Linked DNA regions of Macaca fascicularis. The protein of the gene in region 1 purifies or fractionates together with the protein of each later gene. This does not show direct contact. Links are inferred from orthologs where the notes say so. Each region holds a gene or a part of one and is shown on either strand. Other genes may lie near its edges.

Region 1 (6,096 bases):
GTCTCGCTCTGTCGCCCAGGCTGGAGTGCAGTGGCCAGATCTCAGCTCACTGCAAGCTCCGCCTCCCGGGTTCACGCCATTCTCCTGCCTCAGCCTCCCGAGTAGCTGGGACTACAGGCGCCCGCCACCTCACCCGGCTAGTTTTTTTTGTATTTTTTAGTAGAGACGGGGTTTCGCCGTGTTAGCCAGGATGGTCTCGATCTCCTGACCTCGTGATCCGCCCGTCTCGGCCTCCCAAAGTGCTGGGATTACAGGCTTGAGCCACCGCGCCCGGCCTGAAAAACTTTTTCTTAAACAACCATAAAGCATGGATTTCAGGAGAGAATGTAACTAGTGTCAGCTTTATAGTATAAGAGCAGTGACGGCCGGGCGCGGTGGCTCAAGCCTGTAATCCCAGCACTTTGGGAGGCCGAGATGGGCGGATCATGAGGTCAGGAGATCGAGACCATCCTGGCTAACACGTTGAAACCCCGTCTCTACTAAAAAAAAAAAAAATACAAAAACTAGCCGGGCGACGTGGCGGGCGCCTGCAGTCCTAGCTACTCCGGAGGCTGAGGCAGGAGAATGGTGTAAGCTCGGGAGGCGGAGCTTGCAGTGAGCTCAGATCCGGCCACTGCGCTCCAGCCTGGGCGACAGAGCCAGACTCTGTCTCAAAAAAAAAAAAGAGCAGTGACACTGGACAGAAGGTAGGAGGGAGACGAGGGAAAACGTAGGGGCAAGTGCAGGGAGGATTATGAGCTACTATTCTCAGCTCTACCCCAGTTCAGCAGCCACATTCCATCCACAGGAAGGATACTCCACAAAACAGAATCCACATGCTGTTTTCTTCATTTTATCCAGACCCATAATGATTTTCTTTATGTCACCACTTTTGCTGAAGAGTTCGTAGATTTGTTCTTCGGTTGTGTAAAAAGAAAGATTTCCAACATATAACGTACAGCTTTTCTTCAGTAATTTTTCTTGTTCTTCATTGTCACCCTAGAATTTCAAAGAGAGACAAAAGTTAAGCAACTTCAGAGCCTTGCTTAAATAGTATTTCTAAGTATGGTAGAAACATTCATTAATTCTGATTTGGAAATCAAATTCTCTCATCCCAGCCTACCACAAATCCCTTGCTCAAAAAAAGGGAGATGTTCACATCCTGTGAAGCACTTATGCAAAGTCCAGACTCTTAGTAGAGACAAGGCTCAAAAGTTATACCGCATACAGCAAAGTCACCCTACGCCAGACTGCCACACAAGCGGCTTTTTTCCCTGCACACGCCATCTTCTCAGCAGTGCATCCTTTCAACCAAGGTTAAACTCTGGACCTTGACCCATGTATGACAAAGGGCCCTTTTATACTCTGTAGTGAGAAATAAGTGGATTTCCAGAGAGTCCCCTTTTAATAACCCCATAGAGACTGTTTAAAGCAACAACTCTGATGCTTTACATGCTCATGTATTTTTTCTGAATTGAGGAAAAAAATGTAGTGATCACTAAAAACAAAACAGAGCTCACTTTCCTAATGGGCTTCCAAACTGGGATGACACGATGAAGCCAGAGATAAGAATATAACTGGGCTTCATCCAACACACCTGACAAATCCCTGGATCCAAAATGGCTCATCAGGGTCGCGCACAGCGGCTCACGCCTGTAATCCCAGCACTTTGGGAGGCCGAGGCGAGCGGATCACGAGGTCAGGAGATCGAGACCATCCTGGCTAACACGGTGAAACCCCGTCTCTACTAAAAAACAAAAACAAAAACAAAAATATTAGCCGGGCGTGGTGGCGGGGCCTGTAGTCCCAGCTCGCCAGGAGAATGGCGTGAACCCGGGAGGCGGAGCTTGCAGTGAGCCGAGATCGTGCTACTGCACTCCAGCCTGGGTGACAGAGCCAGACCCCGTCTCAAAAAAAGTGCAAATCATGCCTGGCACTTAAGCATCTAAAACCTGGACTGGCCGGGGTCAGTGGTTCACGTCTGTAATCCCAGCACTTTGGGAAGCCCAGGCTGGTGGATCGCTTGAGTCCCAGAGTTTGAGACCGGCCTGAGCAACTCAGGGAGACCCTGTCTCTACAAAAAATTAGCCGGATGTAGTGTGAGAGCCTGTGGTCCCAGCTTCTCAGGAGGCTGAGGTGGGGAGGATCACTTGGGCTCAGGAGGTTGAGGCTGCATGAGCCGTGATTGCGCCACTGCACTTCAGCCTAGGCAATAGAGCGAGATTCTGTCTCAAAAAATAAAATAAATTGACCGAATTTTTTTTTTTTTTTTAAAGTAGGAATCTCGCTCTGTTGCCCAGGCTGGAGTGCGGTGGCGCGATCTTGGCTCACCGCAACCTCCACCTTCCGGGATCAAGCAATTCTCCTGCCTCAGCCTTCCGAGTAGCTGGGACTACAGGCGCCGCCACCACGCCCGGCTAATTTTTGTATTTTTAGTAGGGATGGGGTTTCACCATCTCGGCCAGTCTGGTCTCGATCTCCTAACCTCGTGATCCACCCGCCTCAGCCTCCCAAAGTGCTGGGATTACAGGCATGAGTCACCGTGCCCGGCCTCGACTGAATAAATTTCAGAGCTTCCCTAATTTGGCGTCAAAGTTTCCTTTTCCCTACTCTAGTAACATATTTCACACGTTCTCCACACTGACCTCTGCTATATGCGCCCCCTCATTTCCCAGTCACAAGGGGATTTCTCCCCTTTTTCTGAATTCTCACAGCCTCTCTTTTAACTCACTTCTACCTTAGATTCTTTGATAATCCACACTACAGGGGATTATGAGCTCGCAGAGTGCAGAAACTGTCTTCCCTTCCCCCCAGGGTTTAGCACAAGGCTTTGGTGACAGCACTCAACAAATGTTTACTAAATAACCGGGTTAATGAGTCCCGCGCCGCCACCCCTCAACCGTATTCCATCCCTACCTTTGCTGATACTGAAAAGCCTACTTTGTATATCTGCGGCCTCCCCTTTTTCCACAAAACATACTGTGATATAGTCCGGACTAAAAATTTCTCTCTTCTGAAATCCAGCAATTCTCCGATCTTCACATCCAAACACCCTCAAAGTGCCCAGCTTGGCGGGTCCCCCTCCCCACTCCGAAGCCTCCCCGAGGGCGGAGTGAGGACTTCACTTGTGTCTCCCACGCACCGCGTACAGCTTCCCTAACACCATCCTCCCAGAGAAGGGCACTGCTTCGCCGATTTAAAAAAGAACGTAGGCCGGGCGCGGTGGCTCACACCTGTAATCCCAGCACTTTGGGAGGCCGAGATGGGCGGATCACGAGGTCAGGAGATGGAGACCATCCTGGCTAACACGGTGAAACCCCGTCTCTACTAAGAAATACAGAAAAACTAGCCGGGCGAGGTGGTGGGCGCCTGTAGTCCCAGCTACTCGGGAGGCTGAGGCCGGAGAATGGCGTAAACCCGGGAGGCGGAGCTTGCAGTGAGCTGAGATCCGGCCACTGCACTCCAGCCTGGGCTACAGAGCGAGACTCCGTCTCAAAAAAAAAAAAATAAAATAAAAAAATAAAAAAAATAAAAAAGAACGTAAAAAGCCCCGAATCTGCATCAAGAAGGCGCCTCTGCACACTCTGGGAGAGAGAAGGGCACCCCGCCCTTGTTACGCAGCCATCTGCGAGGTACAACCTGGAAACGGGAGCCGCCACTACCATCAGCGCTCAGGCCTCTCGGCACCGGCTCGGGTGCAGGGAGCGGCTGGAGGGAACAGGAAAGCGAGCCTCAAATGCCCTGTCTTCCAGAGCCAGCGGCTTCAGTGATGTCCAAGCGCCCCCCCAGCACCCGCTCCCTGCCTCCCCAGCCGGCACCGGGGCCCCACTTGGCGTTTGGGGATTGCAGCAGAACGGGAGGCGACACAATGAGACAAGAGCAAACCGTTTCTCAGCGTTCTGGCCCAGGGCCTTCCCCTCTCGCGGCCCGGCCTCCCTCACCCGGAAGTGCTGGTCCCGGTACTGGCTCAGCTCCACGTAGGAGTCGCTGCGCAGCGCCTTCAGGAGGCCACCCGACATAGCGCAGAGAAGCGGACGAGGACGCGGCGATTCCCGGCACGAGGTGGCGTCTGCCGTGGCGGAAGCGGAAACGCGCGGAAGCGCGCATCTCATTGGACCCAATCCGAGGGCGGCAGTGTCGTCATCAAGCTGCGCGGGCGCAGATGACGTCCGGGTCGGGCGCCGCCGGGCGGAAGACTAGGGCGGCGAGGTCGGATTCCCGGGCGCTTGGGGAAGATGGTGCTTCGGCGGCTGCTGGCGGCCCTGCTGCACAGCCCGCAGCTGGTGGAACGTCTGTCCGAGTCTCGGCCTATCCGACGTGCGGCGCAGCTCACGGCCTTCGCTCTGCTGCAGGCCCAGCTGCGGGGCCAGGACGCGGCCCGCCGCCTGCAGGACCTCGCGGCTGGCCCCGCAGGCTCCCTGTGCCGCCGCGCTGGGCGATTCAGAGACACCTTCACCCAGGAGCTACGCCGCGGCCTCCGTGGCCGTTCGGGGCCACCACCAGGTAGCCAGAGGGGCCCTGGCGCAAACATTTAAGCCTGGGCTGTGCGGGGCCGAGGCCTTTACTTTGCCTTCCGGGCTCTACACTGGCCTCGACGTGGAGGGGTCGTTCCGGGCACTGCGCGCGGCTTCGAACCCCGACTCGGATTGTTGGCCTGCAGACATCCCACGCAGAAGAGCCTAGGCCAGACCGCAGGCTCCGCTGAAGTCCTGTGATTGGACAAGACACCGTGTGGAGAAAGACCCCGAAGCCTAACAGAGATGAAGATAGGCTGGGTCCAGACACCGCACCCGCGGAGAGCCACGGACCGAAGCCAGAGAGCCTTTCCTCTGCAGATGGAACTGACACTCTTGACAGATGCTGCTGAATCTGCACTGGTGTAGCAGGACACTTAATTCCAGGGACGATGTGAATGAAAAGACAACCCTACAACTGCCAAATTCCTTTGATTAAAAAAATGTATGAGCTGGTTAATAGGCATGAGTGTGATACTTCTCAGGCAAGATATATTGAGAATACCAGGGACTGTAGGCCTATGGCAATAATAAACATGTATTTTATGAAATGAGTATTTTGTGCTGGGACTTGCTCATTGCACTCTGCGTGTTATTTCGCTTCCTTACAACCACATCCGCATGAGCAAGCAGATTACTTTTTGGATTTTTTTGTAGAGATGGGGTAGTCTCGAACTCTTGGGTCCGAGTGATCGTCCTGCCTCAGCCTCCCAAAATGCTGGGATTAGAGGCAAGAGCCACTCCGATGGAAACAGAGGCTGCTGCTTAAGTTGCCCAAAGTCTTGCAGAGTGGGATGTGAGCAGAGGCATTTGATTCCAGGGCCTAAGTCCTTAACACAGCTCTGCAACATTTGCCCTGATACTTTCCTTCCTTCCCCAACCCCCCATCATCAGGCATTAAGACTACTGCCTAGGAGCAGGCGTGGTGGCAGTTGTGTCTAATCCAAGCCACTGCAGAGGAAGGAGGATCGCATGAGCCTGAGATGAGACCAGCCTGGGTAGCATAGCGAGAACCTGTCTCAAAAATAAAAAAAGACTGCTGCCTGCCATGGAATGAGCTACCTGGACTCATCCCTCATTTTAGAGGATCAGGCATACGAAACTAAGACTATGGTCCAGCAAGTTAGTGGACCCATGATTAGGAAATCCACTGTATATACAAATGTCTTGTCATTTGAAGCTCCTAGCTAAATTTCTGATTTATTTATTTATTTTGAGACAGGGCCTCACTCTTGCCCAGGCTGGAGTGCAGTGGCATGATACTAGCTGTCACTGCAACCTCGACCTATTGGGCCAAGTGATCGAGCTTCCTCCCTGGGTCTCCCAAGTAGCTGGGATTACAGGCCCATGACACTATGCGCAGCTAATTAAAAACAGGTTTTTTTGTTTTTGTTTTTGAGACAGAGTCTTACTTTGTTACCAGGCTGGAGTGCAGTGGCGTGATCTCGGCTCACTGCAACGTCCACCTCCCGGGTTCAAGTGATTCCCCTGCCTCATCCTCCCGAGCAGCTGGGATTACAGATGTGCGCCACCATGCCTGGCTAGTTTTTTGTATTTTAGTAGAAATGGAGTTTCACCATGTTGGTCAGGATGGTCTTGATCT
Region 2 (6,172 bases), on another chromosome or scaffold:
ATTTTTAGTAGAGACAGGGTTTTACCACATCGGACAGGCTAGTCTTTTGTATTTTTAGTAAGGACAGGGTTTTGCCACGTTGGATAGGCTAGTCTTTTTTTTCCGAAATGGAGTTTTGCTATTGTTGCCCAGGCTGGAGCGCAATGGCGCGATCTCGGCTCACTGCAACCTCTGCGTCCCAGGTTCAAGCGATTCTCCTGCCTCAGCCTCCCAAGTAGCTGGGGTTACAGGCAACCGCCACCACGCCCAGCTAATTTTTTGTATTTTTAGTAGAGACGAAGTTTCCCTATGTTGGCCAGGCTGGTCTCGAACTCCTGACCTCAGGTGATCTGCCCATCTCATCCTCCCAAAGTGCTAGGATTACAGGTGTGAGCCACCGTGCCCGACTATATCGTATCTTTCAAAGGCAATTTTGGGCATTATACTTCTGTTTCAGGTTGTTTTTAGGTGCAAGTACAGAATAGCGGTTCAGAATACAGATCCTGGAACCAGGATCTGTTATGGCTGAATCCTGTCTTTGCCATGTACTGGCTGTGTGACCCTGGACAAGTTACATAAACACTTGTGATTCAGTGCTCTCTTTTGTGAAATAGAGCAAATAACAGTACTACCTCACAGTTGTGAAGATCAAGTGTATTAATACATGGTAAACACTCAACACTTCTGGACACATAGTAGTCAGTATTTTCAAGCAAAAGAAACTCAACTTGGCTTGGTATGGTGGCTCAGGCCTGTAATCCCAGCACTTTGGGAGGCGAAGGTGGGTGGATTGCTTGAGCTCAGGAGTTCAAGACCAGCTTGGGCAAAATAGTGAAACCCTGTCTTTACAAAAAATACAAAAATTAGCTGGACGTGGTGGTATGTACCTGTAGTCCCAGCTATTTGGGAGGCTGAGGTGGGAGGATGGCTTCAGCTCAGGAGGCAGAGGTCGCAGTTAGCCAAGATCGTGCCACTCCACTCCAGCCTGGGTGACAGAGCCAGACCCTGTATCAAAGACAAGAAAAAAAAAGAAAAAAAAAAAAAGAGAAGAAACTCAACTTGACAATACAAAAGAAATGTGTATCGGATCTCATAATTGCAAACCTTCAGAGATAGAGCGGGTCAGACCTCTCAAGGTTTCCCTACAGTTTTCTTATTCAGATTTCTAGGACTCACATCCCTCAGTTCAGAAGAACAGAGGCTGCTTTCCTACCTCCAACCAGTAAACAAAAGGCACGGGCTGTCCAACTGGATGAATTTAGGTCATGTGCCTGCCCCTGAACCATTCTCAGTAGCTGAGAGAATGCCTCACAGTGATTGGTTTAGGGGTGAATTCCTTCCACATTCTTGCATTTAGGGGGATGGGATTATGCTGATTAAGAGTAGGTGCAACCCTTTATGAACTCTGGCTGCTATACAATGAATGAGGCTGGCATTAATGACTGCAAGAATGGACAAATTTGGTGTTTGAATTTATTTATAGTAAGAAATAAACCATGACAACTTTTCTAAAATGTAATCTTTTAGAACACAAAAAAATTGCAGAAACAAAAATGGCCCATAATCCTGATGCTCTGTTGACCATCTTTGTTTTGTTTCTTCGTTTGAGCATATAGCAAAAAATGCAAAATTCAGAAATGTGTAACGAGCATAGAATGTTACTGGAACAATTGACAAAACTTGAACACAGACTACATACTAAACAACAGCATGAAATTTCAGTTTTTCTGAATTTGACGACTGCAGTGTGGTTATGTAAGAGAATGTCTTTTCTTAGGAGATACACCGTGAAACAGAGGAAAAAGGACATGATTCTGAAACTCTCAAATGTTTCAAAAAGTAACATATTGAAATCACACATAGGTACACATGTGCATAGGTATACATATATATGTATAGAGACATTGCAGTAGCAAATGTGTTAACATTTGGCAAATCTGGATAAGGATTTGCAATTCTGCTGCATTTGAAATTATTTAAAAATACAAAACTTGAGTGTTTGGAGAAACAGGAATAAGAAATATTTTGTTACTATATTTGCGGCTTCTATACAGTCTTTTACGACGCAATTGAAAAAAAAAACTAAACTAAAAAATATAACATAAATCTTCCCTCCCATAGTGGCCAGAAACCCCTGCCAAGTTCTTCGGATATCGTAACAGGAAAAAAATGCAAAGCAATATGTCTTTCTATAAAGATTACTTATTTACTAATTATCATTTTTTAATTTTCATGAAGATCAACAACAAAGTTTTTTTAAAATAATGACTTTGAGAATCATTTTGCGGTATTTGTTCAAGGCTCTCGCCCAGGAAAACGCCCAGGGACCATGCGCGCTTCAATCCAGTGGAAACACGAACGGCCCAGGGACCGCCCCTTCGCGTTGCTTGACGGGATCTGGAGTCCTCCCGCTCCGCCCGGCCAGGCGCTCGGGAACCGCCCGTCTGCTCCCTCATCTCGCGATGCCATCCTCCTTTTTTTTTTTTTTTCCCCCCCTCCCACTCGCCCCTAAGCCCTATGACTCCCTCCCCTCTCAACGTGTTTTTCAAATCCACCAATGGGCACACAGCTTGGGCTCGAACCAGCCAATCGGAATGCGGAGTCACCGGGAAATTTAAATCGCGCCGGCCGGCTGCACGAGCCACACGGTCTTTGAGCTGAGTCGAGGTGGACCCTTTGAGCGCAGCCGTCCCACAGCCGCTGATTCCCCGCATCGCCTCCCGTGGAAGCCCGGGCCCGCTTCTCAGGTACAGACTCAGGCGGCGGCTCGGCCCGAGCGCTAACGGTTTGCCCGCGGGCGGCGTTCGCCTTTGGGTGGGGGGAAGGAGGCCCCGGGTCCACGCCGAGCCTGGCTCAGCCTCCCGCGTTGTCTAGGCCTCGGGGGCGACTGGTTCATTGACCAGGCGGCTGAGTTTCGCGGGGTCTGCGGGTTTAGGGCGCCGACGCTCTTCAAACGGCAGCGGAGACCATAACGCGTCGCGGCCGGGAGAATCGGAGCGAGCCAGGCCTGAGGGCGAATGTCCCGGGAGGGCTCGTGGCGGCCCTGGCCTCGCTTCCCCCTTTCTCGTTGCATCTTCCCCGACGTAGGGGCAGGGGCAGGGGCTGGGGGTGGCAGTTGGGAGCACTGTCTCTGACACTTTGGCCCCGGGGTGGCTGTGCCACCAAGTCGTAGGCGAGCGTAATGAAAGCAAAGATAGCAAATTGTAAGGAGGGCTTTGACTTTTGTCGTCTTCTGAATGACGCACAGCTGATGTCGTCCTAATTAAGTGCATTCGCTCCTAGTCTCTGGAAATGCAAATCAAATATGCGACATGCGGCACTGCATTTTTAATGTTGACCATAATGTAATGATGAAGCAAATTTTTTTTAGTTTTCGAATCTGCACCTATTTTGGCCAAGTAAAGACAGTAAAGTAGTGCGAGCCTCCTGAGAATCTGAATTTATTGCCCTGGCACATAATTTTTAGCTGTAAGTTAACTTGGTTCCCCTGCTTTGCCTTGGATTAACTATTAGGGACTCTGGAGTATCGAGCCAGGCTGTCAGAAACGGTGGACACACGTGGCTAGTCCAAATTGAAATACGCTGTAAGCTTAAAGTACACAAAAGACTTCAAAGATAGAGTATGGAAAAAGAATGTAAAAGATGTCAGTTATTTTATATATTGAAATATATATGTTGAAATACTATTTGGATATGTTGGGTTAAGTAAAATAAATTATTGAAATTAGTTTCACTTGTTTCTTTTCGCCTTTTAAAAAGTATGGCTACTAGGAAGTTTCAATTTATATAGCTTGCATTCTATTTCTGATGGACAGCCCTCTCCAGGAAGTCTCAGCGCTTCAGAGGGAAGGGGGACAGTTCCCGTTTGGGTAAAGCTATTTCATAGTGCTGAAAGCATGATGATCCCCCCTCTAGTATACAGGTGTGGATTCAGTAGATGCTTGATAATTCAATTCTTATTTGGTACTATTATTGACAAAGGAAAATGATAAAGGAAATATTTTTCTCCTCGCCCATCTTTTAGCTTTCTCCCTTTGTCTCATAACCATGTCCACCAATGAGAATGCTAATACACCAGCTGCCCGTCTTCACAGATTCAAGAACAAGGGAAAAGACAGTACAGTGAGTACCTTCTGTTGCTTTCCTGTGGTGGTGTTTAAATGGGAGGACATTTGGAAAGGGGTGAAAACTTAGGGATCTTTTTAAAAATACCCTCACTTAGCAACAAAAACTGATGTGATAGGTGAAACGGCATGTTATCTTTTCTCAAGGAAATGAGGCGTCGCAGAATAGAGGTCAATGTGGAGCTGAGGAAAGCTAAGAAGGATGACCAGATGCTGAAGAGGAGAAACGTAAGCTCATTTCCTGATGATGCTACTTCTCCGCTGCAGGAAAACCGCAACAACCAGGTAAAAAATGTATTTTGGTTTATGAGTTACGTGAAATCCAGAAAATCAGTAGGAACTTTTCTTAGAAATTCCAGTAAACTTAACATTTTTAGCCTTAGGTTGTAACTATCTGTGAAGATCTTTTTCTCTGTTCCCAATTAGTAATTGTCTTCTTTCCTGCCTTCCATAATCCACTGAAGCTGATTTAGGATCTTCCTTTAGCTCTGACCTTCCTTCAGACTTCCCTGCATTTCTAGCTGCTAACTGGGTACCTTGACCTGACCACTGTGTCCAGAGCCAACCAGTTTCTGGTTTATTCTTTTTTTTTTTTTTTCCCTAGACGGGGTCTTGCTTTGTTGCTCAGGCTGGAGTGCAGTGGCACAATCTTGGCTCACAGCAACCTCTGCCTCCTGGGTTCAAGCAATTCTCCTGCCACAGCCTCCTGAGTAGCTGGGATTACGGGCACGCACCACCATGCTTGACTAGTTTTTGTATTTTTTTTTTGTTTTGTTTTTTTGAGTTTCCCTCTGTCGCCCAGGCTGGAGTACAGTGGTGTGATCTCAGCTTACTGCAAGCTCCACCTCCCAGGTTCACGCCATTCTCTTGCCTCAGCCTCCCAAGTAGCTGGGACTACAGGCACCTACCACCCTGCCCAGCTAATTTTTTTGTATTTTTAGTAGAGACGGGGTTTCATCATGTTAGCCAGGAAGGTCTCTGATCTCCTGACCTCGTGATCCACCCGCCTCGGCCTCCCAAAGTGCTGGGATCACAGGTGTGAGCCACTGCCCGGTCTGTTTTTGTATTTTTAGTAGAGGCAGAATTTCACCATGTTGGCCATGCTAGTCTTGAACTCCTGACCTCGTGATATGCCTGCCTTGGCCTCCCAAAGTGCTGGGATTACAGGCGTGAGCCACCAGGCCCTGCCCGTTTTTGGTTTATTTCTGCCTTTTTTGGTATTCTCTCTTTTTTTGTATTTGTCACCAGCTTTGTTCAGGACTTTCCTTCTGAAATATTTACGGTAGCCTCCTAAGTTATCATTTCCTCCTTTCTGTGCCATATATTATTTTCCTGAAATTTTTCCTAAAGTACTGCCTTAGACATGTGTTTTCTCTCCTCAAAATCCATCCTCCAAATTGCTTGAACCTGGTAGGTGCAGGTTGCAGTGAGCCAAGATCGTCCCATTGCACTCCAGCCTGGGCAACAATCAAGGAAAAAAATAAAAATAAAAAAATTCATATTCCAGCTCGGCATGGTGGTTCATGCCTGTTCATGCCAACACTTTGGGAAGCTGAAATGGGAGGATCACTGGAGGCCAGGAGTTTGAGCCCAGCCTAGGCAACGTAGCAAGACCTTGTCTCTATAAAAAATAAAGTTAGCTGGGCATGGTGGCATTGGCCTTTAGTCCTAGGTATTCAGGGGGCTGAGACAGAAGGATCACTTGCCAGGATTTTGAGGTTGCAGCGAGCTATGATTGCACTACTGTACTCTGTGCTGGGTGACAGTGAGACACTATCTGTAAAATAAAAATCCCTGCTCCATGAAGGCCTTCCATAAAGTAGACCTATCTTAGATTTTCAAATTTATCTTTCATCTGGGCACTTTCCTACATCTTTTTCTCACAATATGCGTCCTTTTTTTTTTTTTTTTTTCTTAAGATGAAGCCTTGCTTTGTTGCCCAGGCAGGAGTGCAAGGCACCATCTTGGCTCACCACAACATCCGCCTCCTGGGTTCAAGCGATACTCATGCCTCAACCTCTGGAGTAGTTGGGATTACAGGCATGTGCTACCATGCCCAGCTAATTTTT
Region 3 (5,848 bases), on another chromosome or scaffold:
GGCAACAGAGTGAGATCCTCTCCCCTCCAAAAAAAAATAAATTAGGCCAGCTCTTGGCTCACGCCTGTAATCCCAGCACTTTGAGAGGCGAAGGCGGGTGGATCCCTTGAGCTCTGGAGTTTGAGAGTAGCTTGGACAGCATGGTAAGACCCTGTCTCTACTAAAAATACAAAGAATAGTTGGGTGTGGGGGTGCGTGTCTGTGGTCCCAGCTATTCAGGAGGCTGAGGTGGGAGAATCCCTTGAGCCAGGAGGCGGAGGTTGCAGTGAGCAACTAACTGCACTCCAGCATGGGTGACAGAGCAAGACGCTGTCTCAAAAAAAACAAAAAGAAAAAAGAAAAAAGGAAAAAGAAAAAGAAAAAAAAAATCTCAAAAAAAAAAAAAAAAAGAGGGGAACATATCATTAAAGTATTTGGCATTTATTTCCTGTAAATAGAAGCCATCTGGTCAAGTACTTATTTGTAATTCAAATGTTCACCTGAATGAAATTTCATCAGCCACTTTCTCTTGAGAATCTTCCTCTGTGATCTCATATCGACCTTTATAGTTCATTTCTGGTCTGTTCCCCAGCCTGTCTTTGACAGGTCGTTTCCTTTTGAGATGACCTTGCCCATTTTCCTCTTCCTTTGATCCCATTTTTTTGCCACCGTGCATATATTCATCTAGTTCCTTGTCTAGATCTTTTGTATGCTCTTGAGATTCCCTCCTAAGTTTCTTAGCAAGCAAATAATTGTAGGTCTCGGATTGCCTGCTTCTGTCAATAGTGCCCTCCATTCCCAAGATACCAAGTTCAGTGGCCACTGCATCTTGATTCTGTTCCTGCAGCACAGCACCCCATATGTTGTTAATCTTCTTTCCTCCAGCAACAGGTGGTTTCTGACTGCTCTGGCCAAACTGAAAAGGCTCTGGTTTGGGAGGAGGGTTAAAACATTTCTGTCGTTTGCGTTTCCAAAGACAGCTATCATCATCTGAATCAGAAAAACTCTCTTCACTTGAATCCACGCTTTCAACAGCTCGATAATGTGATACTGGCGCACATGTCGTTGCTGTGTTCTGGAAGGCCCTCGTAGCACTGTCGCCACCTAGCACTTTCTGCAAGTGAAAAGAAACACAATCCATTTCACAAAACACATAAACTCCACCTACCTAATTTTTAAAAATTTAGAGATTCAACTGCGCCATTCCAAAAGGAACTGATCTTCAAAGACAAGTCTGAGACCAATCAAATCCTTACTTTTCTAAGTTCCACATGGAATTCGCCAATTTAAAAGCCACAAATTCTTATCTTTACAACTAATGCAGCACTTTGTTCTAAGATATCCTTTTACTATATTACCAAAGTTCTTGTCACCTTTAAAAGATTTCAAACTTTTCAGTTATTGTCAGAATGTTTTAAAATGACATACATAATAATTGTTACTTTTTTTTTTTTGAGACAAAGTTTTGTTCTGTGGCCCAGGCTGGAGTGCAGTGGAGCAATCATGGCTCACCGCAGCCTCAACCTCCCAGGTTCAAGCAATCCTCCTACCTCAGCCTCCTGAGGGACCCTCACCATAACCAGCTAATTTTTTTTTTTTTGCATTTTTTGTAGAGATGGGGTTCTGCCATATTGCCTAGGCTGGGCATGATTTTTTTTTTTTTTTTTTTAGAGGGAGTCTCGCACTGTCACCCAGGCTGGAGTGCAGTGGTGCGATCTTGGCTCACTGCAAGCTTTGTCTCCCGGGTTCAGGCCATTCTCCTGCCTCAGCCTCCCAAGTAGCTGGGACTACAGGCGCCTGCCACCACGCCCGGCTAATTTTTTTGTATTTTTAGTAGAGACGGGGTTTCACTGTGTTAGCCAGGATGGTCTCAATCTCCTGACCTCGTGATCCACCTGCCTCGGCCTCCCAAAGTGCTGGGATTACGGGCGTGAGCCACCGCACCCGGCCTGGGCATATTTTTAAAACCCCACAGTCCACAGCATTAAGTTTATTTACCAAGTCATGGGTCAATTTATGTAAAAACAACCTGAGATTGAAAAACAAAATATCTTGGTACTAATTTCCTAAACATTTATATGCAAAAGCAAGTATTTGTATTTGTTAAAACTCCTACTACGCTGGAAACGCAAGTAGGGAGGATCTATCTCCCACTATCTTCAAATAATGATCAGAGATAACACTTTTCAGGCATTACCGCGCACTGTATGCTCCATAGAATCCTTGCAATAACCCTATCAGTGGAACATCATGCCAATTCCATAGATGGAGACAAAAAGCAGTTAGGCTAAATAAACCTGCTGTAGGTCACACATCGGTGGCCCCAGGATCTGAACACAGGCAATCTGGCACCAAAGCCCCCTCAAAGAGGTTGCTACCTACTAAGGCAGTCAAGACAAATTACCGTTTAGAAAGCAGGGAAGCTGGGCCCGGCGCGGTGGCTCGCGCCTCTAATCACAGCACTTCGGGAGGCCGAGGCAGGTGGATCACTTGAGGTCAGGAGTTCAAGACCAGCCTGGCCAACATGGAGAATCCCCGTCTCTAATAAAAATACAAAAAGCTAGGCTGGGCGCGGTGGCTCACGCCTGTAATTCCAGCACTTCAGGAGCCCAAGGCGGGTGGATCACTTCAGGCGGGAGTTCGAGACCAGCCTGGCCAACATGGTGAAACTCCGTGTCTACCAAAAATATAAAAATTAGCCGGGCGTGGCCGCAGGCCCCTGTAATCCCAGCTACTCGGGAGGCTGAGGCAGGAGAATCGCTTGCACCCGGGAGGCGGAGGTTGCAGTGAGCCAAGACTGCGCCACTACACTCCAGCCTGGGTGACAGAGTGAGACTCTGTCTTAAAACAACAAACAAAACCAGAGAAGCTACCACAAAAACCTAGTGCCATGGTACCGCATGACAAAGCTAGGTTCGGTGGAAACAAGGAAAACCAGCTCTTTAAGTGAACTCTGATAAACTTCATTCCTGGGCCTCAGTCTCTGTCTCAGGGAGAAAAGGAGCACCACAGGCTGTTTCAGGCCAATGTCCCCAGATGCTACACATCTGGCAAAATCTGCCCCTTAATGGTCACCTAGCGGCGCTGGAGTGGGGAAGCCCTAAGTTTAGAAAAAAACAAAGAGCGGTAGGTGGAGGTGAGACCGCCAAGAGACAGCCGCCAAGCCAGCCTCCAGGAGGCGCCAGGGCTCGCGCGCCCGGCCTCGCAGGGAGCCGCCAGGTTGGGGCTCGCACGCCCAGCCGCTGCCGCCGCCTCCGCCCCTCGCTGCCGGCCCCTGCAGCCCGGGCTCCGTGAGCCCGCCCGGGGGACGCCTGCTCGCCCTTTCTGCCGCCACTGACCGAGCAGCCCGGTCCGGACCGGGCTCCTAGCTCTCACCCCTCACCCTCACCGCTGCCTGCGCGCTTTCCGCGGCCCAGGCTCGGCGCGCCCAGCCACGATAACGCACCCTCCTTTCACACTCACCGGCAATTGCAGCGTCCTGTCGCTGGGTGCGACCGTCATGTCGGAATCCGAGTCGGAAAGCTGCCCATCTTCCATGTCGCCAACCTCCAACGCCATCTTCCTGCCCTGCGATGAGCTGCGCGGCGGAGGGTCAGGAGAGCACTTCCGGCGGTGCGGCCGGAAGGCCCGGCGGCGCGCCTGTTTGGGCGCCCCCGCACGGAGGCCAGCATGTTGCAGCGGCTTGAGGCGTAGCCATTGCGTTTCAACTACCGCGGGAAAATGAATCCCTTGTTCCCCCAACACTTTTCTTTCGAACTTTATTTTCGTGCAAACAAAAATATGTCACGAATCGCGGTCGTCTGGGATTCCCCCCTTGGCCGTACATCCTTCGCCTGTATGCTCTGGACAAGCCTCCTTGCTTCCATTCTTGCTCCTCCGCTACCCACTCTACATATTGCTTCCAGGGAAGCCTTTCAAGCGGTATAGTCCGCCCTCTGTATCCACTCCCTATCCACAGATGCCAAACCTGCGGATGGGAAGGACGCACTGTGCACCACCACATAATATAAGGGGGCTCGAGCATGGCCTATGTTGGTATCTGTGGGGGTCCTGAAAACAATGACCGGCAGATACCGAGGGACGATTGTACCTTAGCTGGAATCTTCCAAGTGCACCCCTCCTCAAAACAAGGACTGAGTTCTCAGCATGGTGTTTGAAATGTTTGTTTTTCGGTGTCATAAAGAAATAGCACTTGAACATAAATTTAATTTATTGAGTAAGGCCATTTTTACTTTCTGCAGAAAGGGTACGCCCACCAGCAGTTTTGCCAGGAGAGTACACTGAACAAAGGAGACAGGGTCATTTGTAAGCTGAGGCGTTTACCTTACTGCTGTGGCTGGTTTTTATTGGCTGGAACAGGACCTCACATTTTGTATTCCTCGGGATTGGCTAGCAACTTGGAACTTTTTAAAAGAGGCAAAGGTAGAGGAGAACAAAGGAAGGAAGAAGTACCTTGTGGAATGTGGAGAAAGACAAAAACACTTTTAAATAAGGAAGAGGAACAGGCTATGACCTAATGCTTGCTTGGACTAGTATAAGCATGCCAGGGCAAATATTTAGGCTAAATTGTGGGAGATAAGAACATAAAGTACATTTATTTTATTATAGCTAGCAGATATTTAAGAATGTTAGCACAGGTCTTTGAATAAATTTTGCTTTTAAGAGAGGTTACTATTTATTCCTAATTAGATGGGGAGGAAAGTCTTTGAAGAGGAACCTCTATTTTACTTTTTACAATGGCAAACAAGGTTATGTGGACTGGGCACCAGGTCACTGGTCCTGGTGTGTCCCCCTGCCCAGCCGCGGGCGCGCTGAACCTGTTGTTCCTCAGGCAAGCCCTCTGCATTTGCTGTTCACTCGGCCTGGAAGGCCCTTCCCTCAACCCACCCCATTCTTTAAAGATTATCTTGGAATCGCCTTTGCAAAAATTGTAACAGTGAGAAAATTACGGCAGCGGGGGAGATCTGATCTAGCTAACCCCTATTTTGCTTTTAGCCTTCAAGCTGCCCTTAATTATTCCTGGGCTTGGGCCAGTCAGTGTAACTTTGGGAGATATTTAGTTTATAGTTTAAATGATAATAACCCTTCCCCAAAAGCCAACCGCCTTTGTAAAGCTAATAAGAAATCACCAGGGTAGAAGGATAAAGGAGGCTGAATTCTGCTAAGGTGTAGACATAAACCGTTGCCAGTCATTATCCCAGAGGTCACAAGGTACGCAACTTTTCCAATTACTCTTCCAGATAACATCACTATTGTAGACCCTAAGATTGGCATTTTGAGATATCTTTTCAGGTATTTTGCATGTATGACTACCAATGGTTCCACCTGAAGCTCTAACCGCTTCTGTGGTCCCACACAGAAGCTATTGACCTGCTTGAGGACAATTTCCCACACCCCAATGACTGTATCCCCAGCCAGTAAGCAGCAAGAACCCATTGCTTAGCCATTCCATCACTTCCCCAAACTATCTTTGGAAAACACTAGTCCCTGAATTCTCCAAGAGATTGATTTGAGTAATAACTCTGTCTCCCACACGGCGTGGGTGGCCTCCTGTCTATTAAATTCTTTCTTTCTTCTTTTTGAGACAAGTTTGCTCTGTCTCCCAGGCTGGAGTGCAGTGGCAAAATCTCGGCTCACTGCAGCCTCTGCCTCCCGGGTTCAAGTCATTCTCATCCCTCAGTCTCCCAAATAGCTGGGAATACAGGCATACACCACCAGGTTCGGCTAATTTTTGTATTTTTAGTAGAGATGGCACTTGACCATGTTGGTCAGGCTGGTCTCGAACTCCTGATCGCCCTGAATCTTGATTTGCCCTCCTTGGTCTCCCAAAGTGCTGGGACTACAGGCGTGAGCCACAGTACCTGGTTCC

The links.
Region 2: the proteins of NCBP2 (region 1) and KPNA2 purify together in Homo sapiens (affinity purification with mass spectrometry; 4 studies listed by BioGRID and IntAct, with this or other methods). This does not show direct contact. The link is inferred for Macaca fascicularis from reciprocal best matches to the Homo sapiens genes NCBP2 and KPNA2.
Region 3: the proteins of NCBP2 (region 1) and PHAX purify together in Homo sapiens (affinity purification with mass spectrometry; 5 studies listed by BioGRID and IntAct, with this or other methods). This does not show direct contact. The link is inferred for Macaca fascicularis from reciprocal best matches to the Homo sapiens genes NCBP2 and PHAX.

What each region holds. Positions count from the first base shown.
Region 1 is NC_088376.1:2,355,798-2,361,893, forward strand, and holds the start of NCBP2 (nuclear cap-binding protein subunit 2), read right to left. Parts: upstream 4,051-6,096; 5' UTR 3,999-4,050; coding exon 3,921-3,998; exon of another isoform or gene 3,865-3,920; intron 3,690-3,864; exon of another isoform or gene 3,619-3,689; intron 3,367-3,618; exon of another isoform or gene 3,213-3,366; intron 3,072-3,212; exon of another isoform or gene 2,896-3,071; intron 1,727-2,895; exon of another isoform or gene 1,577-1,726; intron 979-1,576; coding exon 797-978; exon of another isoform or gene 758-796; intron 1-757. Other genes in the region: protein NCBP2AS2, read left to right, coding at 4,215-4,514. UniProt on the Homo sapiens protein: Component of the cap-binding complex (CBC), which binds co-transcriptionally to the 5' cap of pre-mRNAs and is involved in various processes such as pre-mRNA splicing, translation regulation, nonsense-mediated mRNA decay, RNA-mediated gene silencing (RNAi) by microRNAs (miRNAs) and mRNA export.
Region 2 is NC_088390.1:74,457,879-74,464,050, forward strand, and holds the start of KPNA2 (importin subunit alpha-1), read left to right. Parts: upstream 1-2,622; 5' UTR 2,623-2,726; intron 2,727-4,003; 5' UTR 4,004-4,026; coding exon 4,027-4,101; intron 4,102-4,250; coding exon 4,251-4,388; intron 4,389-6,172.
Region 3 is NC_088380.1:133,171,024-133,176,871, reverse strand, and holds the start of PHAX (phosphorylated adapter RNA export protein), read right to left. Parts: upstream 3,551-5,848; 5' UTR 3,538-3,550; coding exon 3,442-3,537; intron 1,094-3,441; coding exon 480-1,093; intron 1-479. UniProt on the Homo sapiens protein: A phosphoprotein adapter involved in the XPO1-mediated U snRNA export from the nucleus.